2 linked regions of the Cricetulus griseus genome follow. The protein of the gene in region 1 purifies or fractionates together with the protein of each later gene. This does not show direct contact. Links are inferred from orthologs where the notes say so. Each region holds a gene or a part of one and is shown on either strand. Other genes may lie near its edges.

Region 1 (4,019 bases):
AGACATACCAACTATAGTGACAAAAGGGAGGTCAACAGCTTCCTCGACATAGGAGGATGTAGAGAATAGCAGGTAGAATAACAAAGAGTATACAGAAATTTGGTGGGGGATTAATGGACTGGCTCATTTTCTTTTTCAGAGCAGTGGGTTACTGAGTGTTTTACAACTGTATGATTTAGATATGTGCGCTGTATTTAAATGTGTATGTTTTTAAATATGTCAACTGTTTCTCAATAAAACTGTTAAATATAACTAAATAAATATAACATTAAAAAATATAAGAACAATGGCCTGCATTGTTCACCACATCATTCCCAAGCTTTGTATGGTTTGCGTCTTTAAAAAAATACTCTAGATGAAGCCATTTATGTTCCTGTGAACCTGCTGTGGTGATATGTTATTTATGATTTATTAAAGCTTGCCTGAGGAGTCAGAAAGCAAAGTCAGCCACAAGCCATAGAAGCCAGGCACACTTCTTTAATCCCAGAAGCCAGAAGCTAGGAAGTGGAGGTACATACCTTTAGTCATAGGACTAAGATTAAGAGGTAAACAGATCTCTGTGAGTCCAAGACGACCCAGATCTACACAAGAAGTATCCAGTCCTAAAGAGAGAAACAGCTCACATAAAGATGATCCCAGCACCTGGGATCACACACCTTTAATCCCAGCATTAGGAAGGTATATAAGACAGGAACTAGGTCTCAGTGTCAGGTATTCATTCTCCAGCCACATTGAGAATAGGAATGCCTCAGCCTTGTTAGAGGTAAGAGCACTTTGGTAGCTTGACTGCTTTGCTTCCCTGATCTTCAGGTTGAACCCCAATATCTGTCTCTGGGTCCATTTATTTTTCATGTTACAACCTGTAATTGAAACACTCAGAAGCTGAAGCAGAAAGATGGTGAGCTCAAGGCCAACCTGGACAACAATGCCAAGCTATCATAAAACATACCAATATGTGACTGTTTTAGTGATGGGGTTGATAAAACACTCATTCCCAGTACTTTTTGGAGAAATGACACAATTCTATTGATTCTTATCTGCGCTTGGCTTCCAGTTCAGAAGTTATCTAAACCCTGGTGACAGTGTGACACTTAGACTTTCCAGTATGCAGTCATTCATATTAGCTCTCATATTCTCCAATATGCTTCTACTCAGGTTCTGTAGCCAAATCCATTGCTGACTTGCTGGTCCAGGTGCCCAGCAACCCCCTACCATTACCATGGCCGAAGACGCAGATATGCGCAATGAGCTGGAAGAGATGCAGAGGAGGGCTGACCAGCTGGCTGATGAGGTAAGGCATAGAGAGGCAGGGGGCAAGCCCAACACTGGAAGGTGGGTGGTTTCAATTCAGATTTTGAGAAAAGAATTCTTCAATGTCTAATTTTTTTTTTAAGGTGAAAAAAGAACTTCCTTTTTCTCTAAGATTCCTGCAGGCTAGACAGGATTGATTATAAGGCGCAAATACAAATTAACATCTCAGCCCTGAGGCAGGACTCCTAGACACTTGGGAGGGCAGGGTCCTCTAGGAAAAACTTTATCTTTAGATACCTAACAGTATGCCATGGTTACCTCAGTAATGAAGGTTACTAAGTGTGGCTATTACTAAAATTGAAGTACATAATTTGAAAATAAATATATATAATTAAAGCAATGGTATTATGAGCTCAAAAGTCATTACTTGTAGCTAGTTTAGCACATTTTTTCTGCTATCTATGCCCTTGAGTCATTTACACTCACTGTATGTAAGAAATGGAAACTGCAGAGTCAGTTTACCACACTGCACTCAGAAACCAAATCAAAAGCAATTATTGAGAACCAGTCATTGGCAAACAATATCAGTTGTGCTTGCTTTATTGTTTGTTGATTACCTATAGTTAAGACAGAAGGGAAAATATTAATAATCTAGATAAAACTTTTTAATTATGTATGTCTGTAGCTATTACATTAAGAAAATAATATACAGAGTTGGGTGGGGAGGGAGGGTTGGATCAGGGAGGAGCTAGGGGTAAGAGTGGAAGAGGTGAATATGATCAAAATTCATTGTAAGGCATTCTCAAACAGTAAAAATGTTTTTGAAATATAAGAAATTTTGAGGAAGTCCTCCATTATTTGGAAACTTATTTTTCAACAAAAACATCACCTTCTTTACTAATGAGACTAATTCTAACATTAAGTCGTCACTGCTTCAGGTTCTTCTTATTCATGAACATGAGTGAAGTTATCCAGTTGCAGTGACCATGTTAGAATTATACTAGTTCATCATATGAGGAGTCATAGATAGACAACACACACACACACACACACACAAAAAAAAAAAAAACTGACAGGAGTTTTGGGTGAGAATCAACCTGCTACACAGAACTGCTAACCAAGGATGCTGTGTTGCATCATGTGTCAACTCTGTGCTCTCTGTGTTTCACAGCCTTACAATAGATGCAAAGATACATAAATGTATTTATATTTTTTCCCAGAGTCAGAGCATTTTGCCAACACATCACTGATAATAGCTATTTTATTACAAAAGGGAGTCCACTTTAAGTCCATTGCAGCAAAAATTCACATCCTTCAGGCTCCTGCAGAAACTTGTCCAACATAAATTTGCTATTTGAAAGCATGGTTTTGAGAAATCACACTGGTTGTTGCAGTGGAGCTATGTTAAAGGAACTGAGAACAAAGTGGTGATGCTGTGCCTGAGGGACCAGCTGCCAAGCTCAAAGCTTTCTTCATGCTTTTTTTCTTATCTAAAAATGAAGGTAATTACAGCTGTCTCCTATGGGATAGTTATTGCAAACTTGCTTGATTTTTTTTCACCCTAAGGCGACAGCTTAATTTGTATTGATAACAACTTCCAGTTGTGTTTCAAGGAGTTTTAAAGGAAACTCGTTAAACTCATCTCTCCTCATGAAAACTTATGTTTGTGTTTAAAATTCAATATCCCTAGTTCAGGGAGGCCAAAGTAGTCCTTGAAGTATATGAGATAGTTTTCCAGGCATCCAGAGCATACAAAATGATTTGTCCAGATTGCTTTGCCTTTGATATCAAGATCAGCCTCATATGGTTTTGGTTTTATAAAGATAAGCTTTCATATGATTGCTCTGGGAAATCTGATCATGTAGAAAGAGATTGAAACTGGGAAGACATTTGGTGTTTCTGTTGCAAAGTGTAAGTCATGTGTGATAGGGACCTTTGTGTTTCTCATGTGAAGAAAGCATTTCTGACTTGCCTAGTGCTCTGTTAGTGCCTTTAACAGTGTTTATGTTTTTCCATCTTAGTCCCTGGAAAGCACCCGTCGCATGCTGCAGCTGGTTGAAGAGGTAAGGAGTGGATTCTATTAACATAAACTAGGTCCCTATGTTGACATGTTCATTCCTAGCTCCTATTGTTTTTCCCTAAACCATGGCTCCCTGGCTTCCAATATGAACATAGCGTATCAGAAAATACTGGAGATTTTGGCATGAGTTGTTAGCTAGTTATCAAGGTGACCTCACCACCCTCCAGCCTAGGCTACCTCTGCAGTGCATAGTACAGAGAAACCTACTATTTCTAAGCTCCTGTTCCCAACAGTCACAAAAGTGGGTCCCAGTAAGCAAAGTGGTGCTTAATCTATGAAGGAATTACCTACATAAAAGTCTTCATTTGTAATGATTTTGTTGCAATATATTACAGCTAATCTAAAATTCTTTTCTGACTCCAACTATATTTATAACTTTGAAAAATATGTATTTATGCAAGCATATCATCTTTTGAAATTGTTGTATTTAGTGTCCAGCACGAAAATCTAAGAAAAAATAGCAAAAATCTTAAACAAAGAGAAAAATCTAGTCCAATTAAGTAAATATAAAAGTTCTTTTATGTGACTGACTCTGAATTGCACATCCATTTCTAAAGCATTTGTAATTCATGGTTTAATGAATCCCAAACCATTTTTAAATGGATAAAATAGGGCAGATAGCAATAATGGAATCAAAAAAGCATTTGCAATAAAACCTACTCATTCCAATTTGGTAGAACAGCAGTCA
Region 2 (4,257 bases), on another chromosome or scaffold:
AGAGATGGCTTAGCCGTTGGGAGAACTGACTGCCTTTACAAAGGATCCAGGTTCAATTCCCAGCACCCACTGTCTGTAACTCCAGTTCCAGGGAACCTAACACCCTCACCCATACATATATGCAGGCAAAATACCGATGCACATAAAACAAAAATAAATTAATTTTTTTTTCGTTTTTCGAGACAGGGTTTCTCTGTGGCTTTGGAGTCTGTCCTGGAACTAGCTCTTGTAGACCAGGCTGGTCTCGAACTCACAGAGATCTGCCTGCCTCTGCCTCCCAAGTGCTGGGATTAAAGGCGTGCGCCACCAATGCCCGGCTAAAAAAAAATTAATTTTTAAAATCTACTTTATAGATAAAAATGAGATGCTTCCTTGCTGTGAAGTGTTTATGAACCAGTGACCTAAAGTGAGGATTCACACACAGTATGTGCCCAACAAATGTTACTAGTTTATTGCTTAAATTAGGATTGGAGGGAGGAATAAAAGTAGTTTGCAATCCGTAAGAGTTGCTAATTGGCTACAGATCTGAAGCTCAAGATTGCTTAATTTCCCATATTTGAGTCTGGGTTCTCAGAACAGAACAGAATAGGAAGTAGGGTTGAGGAAATCTCATACACTTTTATGCAAATCGAAAATTCTTGCATGCTGTCAGCGGACTCTGGGGAGACACAAGATGACTGGGAAAACGTATTCAATGGGCTCCCAGCTATTTGATGTCATTTGCCCTGTCTAGCATCCCCCAAATCTGGAGGGACCAGGGATGAACTTTTCCCATAACCTTTTGAATCAGGAAGCCCTTTCCCCCCTTTCACACCATGGGAGTTGGGCAGTCATCTGCTACAGCAGGAGGGGCTCTGTGGTAGTGGAGGTTAGAGAAGGCTTCCCAGTTTTTGTAGGTGTGGTGTGCACCTTGTAAGTTGGTGGGCTGTCAATCAAATGCGACCCGGCGGGCAACACCTATCTCATGACTGAATTCCGCAGGAAGGGAATGTTATTGACAGTGTTCCAGATTCCCTTGAAGTAAGCAAGCATGGAGTACACCATGTTGGCCGTATACTTCCGCAGTAATTTTATCCTTGTCAGAAGTTTAGGTGTTGGACAGTTTTCACCATAGAATCCTGTCCGGGTACAATCGCATTTGTACCGGTCCGATCCCACGCTCATGCATTCACCTCGGTTTTGACACGGGTTGGAAAAGCAAAGATTTGCAGGGTGGCTAAGCGCCAATGCTGCGCCCAGCAGCAGGATGCGGACCGGCATCTAGGCGGGCGGCACGTGGCCGAGCGCGGGGCTCTGCGGGGACACGCTCTGCCAGCAGTTTGAAAACTCTCAAGTGACAGCGGCGCACGCGCACCACGGGAGCGGGGGGTGGGGTGGGGAGGGGCAGAGCGTGCGCGTGCGCGTGCGCATTGTCAGTGGGCGGGGTCAGTGCGCACGCAGTCGCCGCTCCTTTCCCCCCCGCCCCCCGCCCTTTCTCTTCCCGGTTTTCCTCTCAGCTGCGGAGCCTGGCTACTGGCAGCTTCCGGTAGGAGCGCCGCGAAGCGCGACCCGGTCTCTGCTCGTTGTCGATGTCCTACGGTCCCTTAGACATGTATCGGAATCCCGGGCCCTCGGGGCCCCAGCTCCGGGACTTCAACAGCATCATCCAGACGTGCAGTGGCAACATCCAGCGGATCAGTCAAGCCAGTGAGCGAGGGGACCCAGCTGGGAGCGGGGGGCCGCGGGGGGCGACCCGAGGGACAGGCCTGGCTGAGGTCGCCACGACGCGGAGCCCGGTCAGGGTCGCAGCCAGGGCCACAGCCGAGGCCGTCGAGAGCCTCCACTCCGGGCGCGGCGAGCTGCCTTCGGCGGGTCGGTCAGGCTCGGGCCCTTCAGGTCCACACCCCTGTCTCAGGCATTGTGATTTCACGGTGTTGGGTCAACAGAGCCTACTTGACAGCCCGAGGGTGGGAGGGAGTGTGTGTCATCTCCAGGACTGTGAGCAACAGTCTTGACTTGACGCAGTGGTCAGCCGAATTTTCCCTGTCATCGCCGTCTCTCCACCCACCTCGCTTTCCACAGTTTGGATCAGGGGTTGCTTGCTGGTTAAGGGCTTTTAGGTTCACATTCTGCTCAGCGGTTGGGTCCTGGGACATCAGCAACTTTCAATTAAGGGAAGTGGCGAATGCGTGTGTTTGGGTGACTTAATACACTGTGCTTCCTGTAATTAATTTGGAAATCAGAGTCAGTGACTGGTATTTAAGGGGTGGGAGGACTCCTGTTTTGTTAGAGAATGCACCGGGAACATTTTAATTTACGTTGTCTTTTGTAGCAAAGAAGTATTTATTTTTTTAAATTTCAAGCATGATATTTCGTTTTTTGTCTCAGTTGAGCTATTCTTGTATAAATCTGATACACAGAGACGCTTGGCTACAACTACATACCGAGTGAGTATGTAGTCTGTAACTGCTTGCCTTAAAACTCACTCCTCACCATTAGAGTCTAAGATTGTAGCTGAGAGTCAAATACAGGCTGTTTCTAGAGATTCAGAATCAGCCTAGAGCCTTGTGAACAGAACAACAGAGGCAGCTTTACTTTAAAAAAAAAAAAAAAAAGGTGACAACTATCTGTGTTATTGTGTTTTAGAGAGCTTAACTATACTGTTAGGGTCAGTTCTGAATTACAATTATGTTCTACACTTTAAAGCAGTCACTTTGCATTGCTTTTATTTTACTTTTGAGACAGAATTTCTCTAGCTCTGTCTGTCATGGAATTCACTTATTTGTAGACCAGGCTGGCCTTGAACTCAGAGATCCACCTGCCTCTGCCTCCCGAGTGCTAGGATTAAAGTCGTGTACTACCAAACTCAGCTTGTCACTTTGCTTTTAAATCTAAATGTAAATTGTAGAATTTGAGAGGTAGGTTTCTGGTGAGGGTAGGGTTAGGAGTAGGTGTTTGGTGGTAGGAAGAACATTCAGCTTGTGAAACCCAGATATTAAAAACAACAATAATGTGATCGATGCTTAGAAAGTATGGTACTTTGTGTTCCAGTTCTCATTTGTCAAGGAGCAGGAATACAGGTTAGATCAGAAAATCCTGGTTCAAGGGGCAGGCAAGATGGCTCAGGGGTAAAGTGCTTGCTCTGCTTTGCTCCCCAGAGCCCATGTAAAGGTGGAAGGGACAAATTAACTGCACAAAGTTGTACTCTGCCCTCCACACTCTTACCTGCAAGTGTACTGTGTGTGTTTGCATTAGTTTGTATGTATGTTCCACATTTACACTCAAAAATAATAAATAAAAATTTTTAAAATTTTGTGCTGGGTGGTGGTGGCATACCCTCTAATCCCAGCACTCAGGAGGCAGAAGCAGGCAGATCTCTGTGAGTTTGAGGCCAGCCTGGTCTACAGAGTTACTTCCATGACAGCCAGGGACACAGAAAGAAATCTTGTCTTGAAAAACAAACAAAACAAAAAAAGAAAGAGAATTTTGTTTCAAGGCTGAAGTTTTCTCACTAAGATTAAACCTAATTTGAATATCTTTCTGTGGAATAGTCTGTATTTAAGTATTAAGCTGTATAGTAAGTGTAGGACCTGGCATAGATTCTTGAGAGCTTGTTTGGAGGTTCTAGCTGAGGAGTGCAGCTACTCGTATACCTTTGACCGAAGACTGTCCTCCTCTATGACCAAGCACGAAGGCAGCTTTGGAAGATGCACACATGGAGCAGTGAGGGAGCCAGTGATTCCTAGCCAGCCAGATCAGCCGAATCAACCCTGGTGATCAATGGGTGACAGATACAGCAGCCAGATCAGCCGAATCAACCCTGGTGATCAATGGGTGACAGATACAGCAGCCAGATCAGCCGAATCAACCCTGGTGATCAATGGGTGACAGATACAGCAGACAGATCAGCCGAATCAACCCTGGTGATCAATGGGTGACAGATACAGCAGCCAGATCAGCCGAATCAACCCTGGTGATCAATGGGTGACAGATACAGCAGCCAGATCAGCCGAATCAACCCTGGTGATCAATGGGTGACAGATGCAGCAGCCAGATCAGCCGAATCAACCCTGGTGATCAATGGGTGACAGATACAGCAGCCAGATCAGCCGAATCAACCCTGGTGATCAATGGGTGACAGATACAGCAGCCAGATCAGCCGAATCAACCCTGGTGATCAATGGGTGACAGATACAGCAGCCAGATCAGCCGAATCAACCCTGGTGATCAATGGGTGACAGATACAGCAGCCAGATCAGCCGAATCAACCCTGGTGAT

What was found.
Region 2: the proteins of Snap25 (region 1) and Stx12 purify together in Homo sapiens (co-immunoprecipitation; 3 studies listed by BioGRID and IntAct, with this or other methods). This does not show direct contact. The link is inferred for Cricetulus griseus from reciprocal best matches to the Homo sapiens genes SNAP25 and STX12.

The regions. Positions count from the first base shown.
Region 1 is NC_048599.1:41,904,731-41,908,749, reverse strand, and holds the start of Snap25 (synaptosomal-associated protein 25), read left to right. Parts: upstream 1-1,219; coding exon 1,220-1,291; intron 1,292-3,272; coding exon 3,273-3,314; intron 3,315-4,019.
Region 2 is NC_048595.1:20,383,130-20,387,386, forward strand, and holds the start of Stx12 (syntaxin-12), read left to right. Parts: upstream 1-1,457; 5' UTR 1,458-1,568; coding exon 1,569-1,686; exon of another isoform or gene 1,687-2,200; intron 2,201-3,632; exon of another isoform or gene 3,633-3,873; intron 3,874-4,257. UniProt on the Homo sapiens protein: SNARE promoting fusion of transport vesicles with target membranes. Together with SNARE STX6, promotes movement of vesicles from endosomes to the cell membrane, and may therefore function in the endocytic recycling pathway.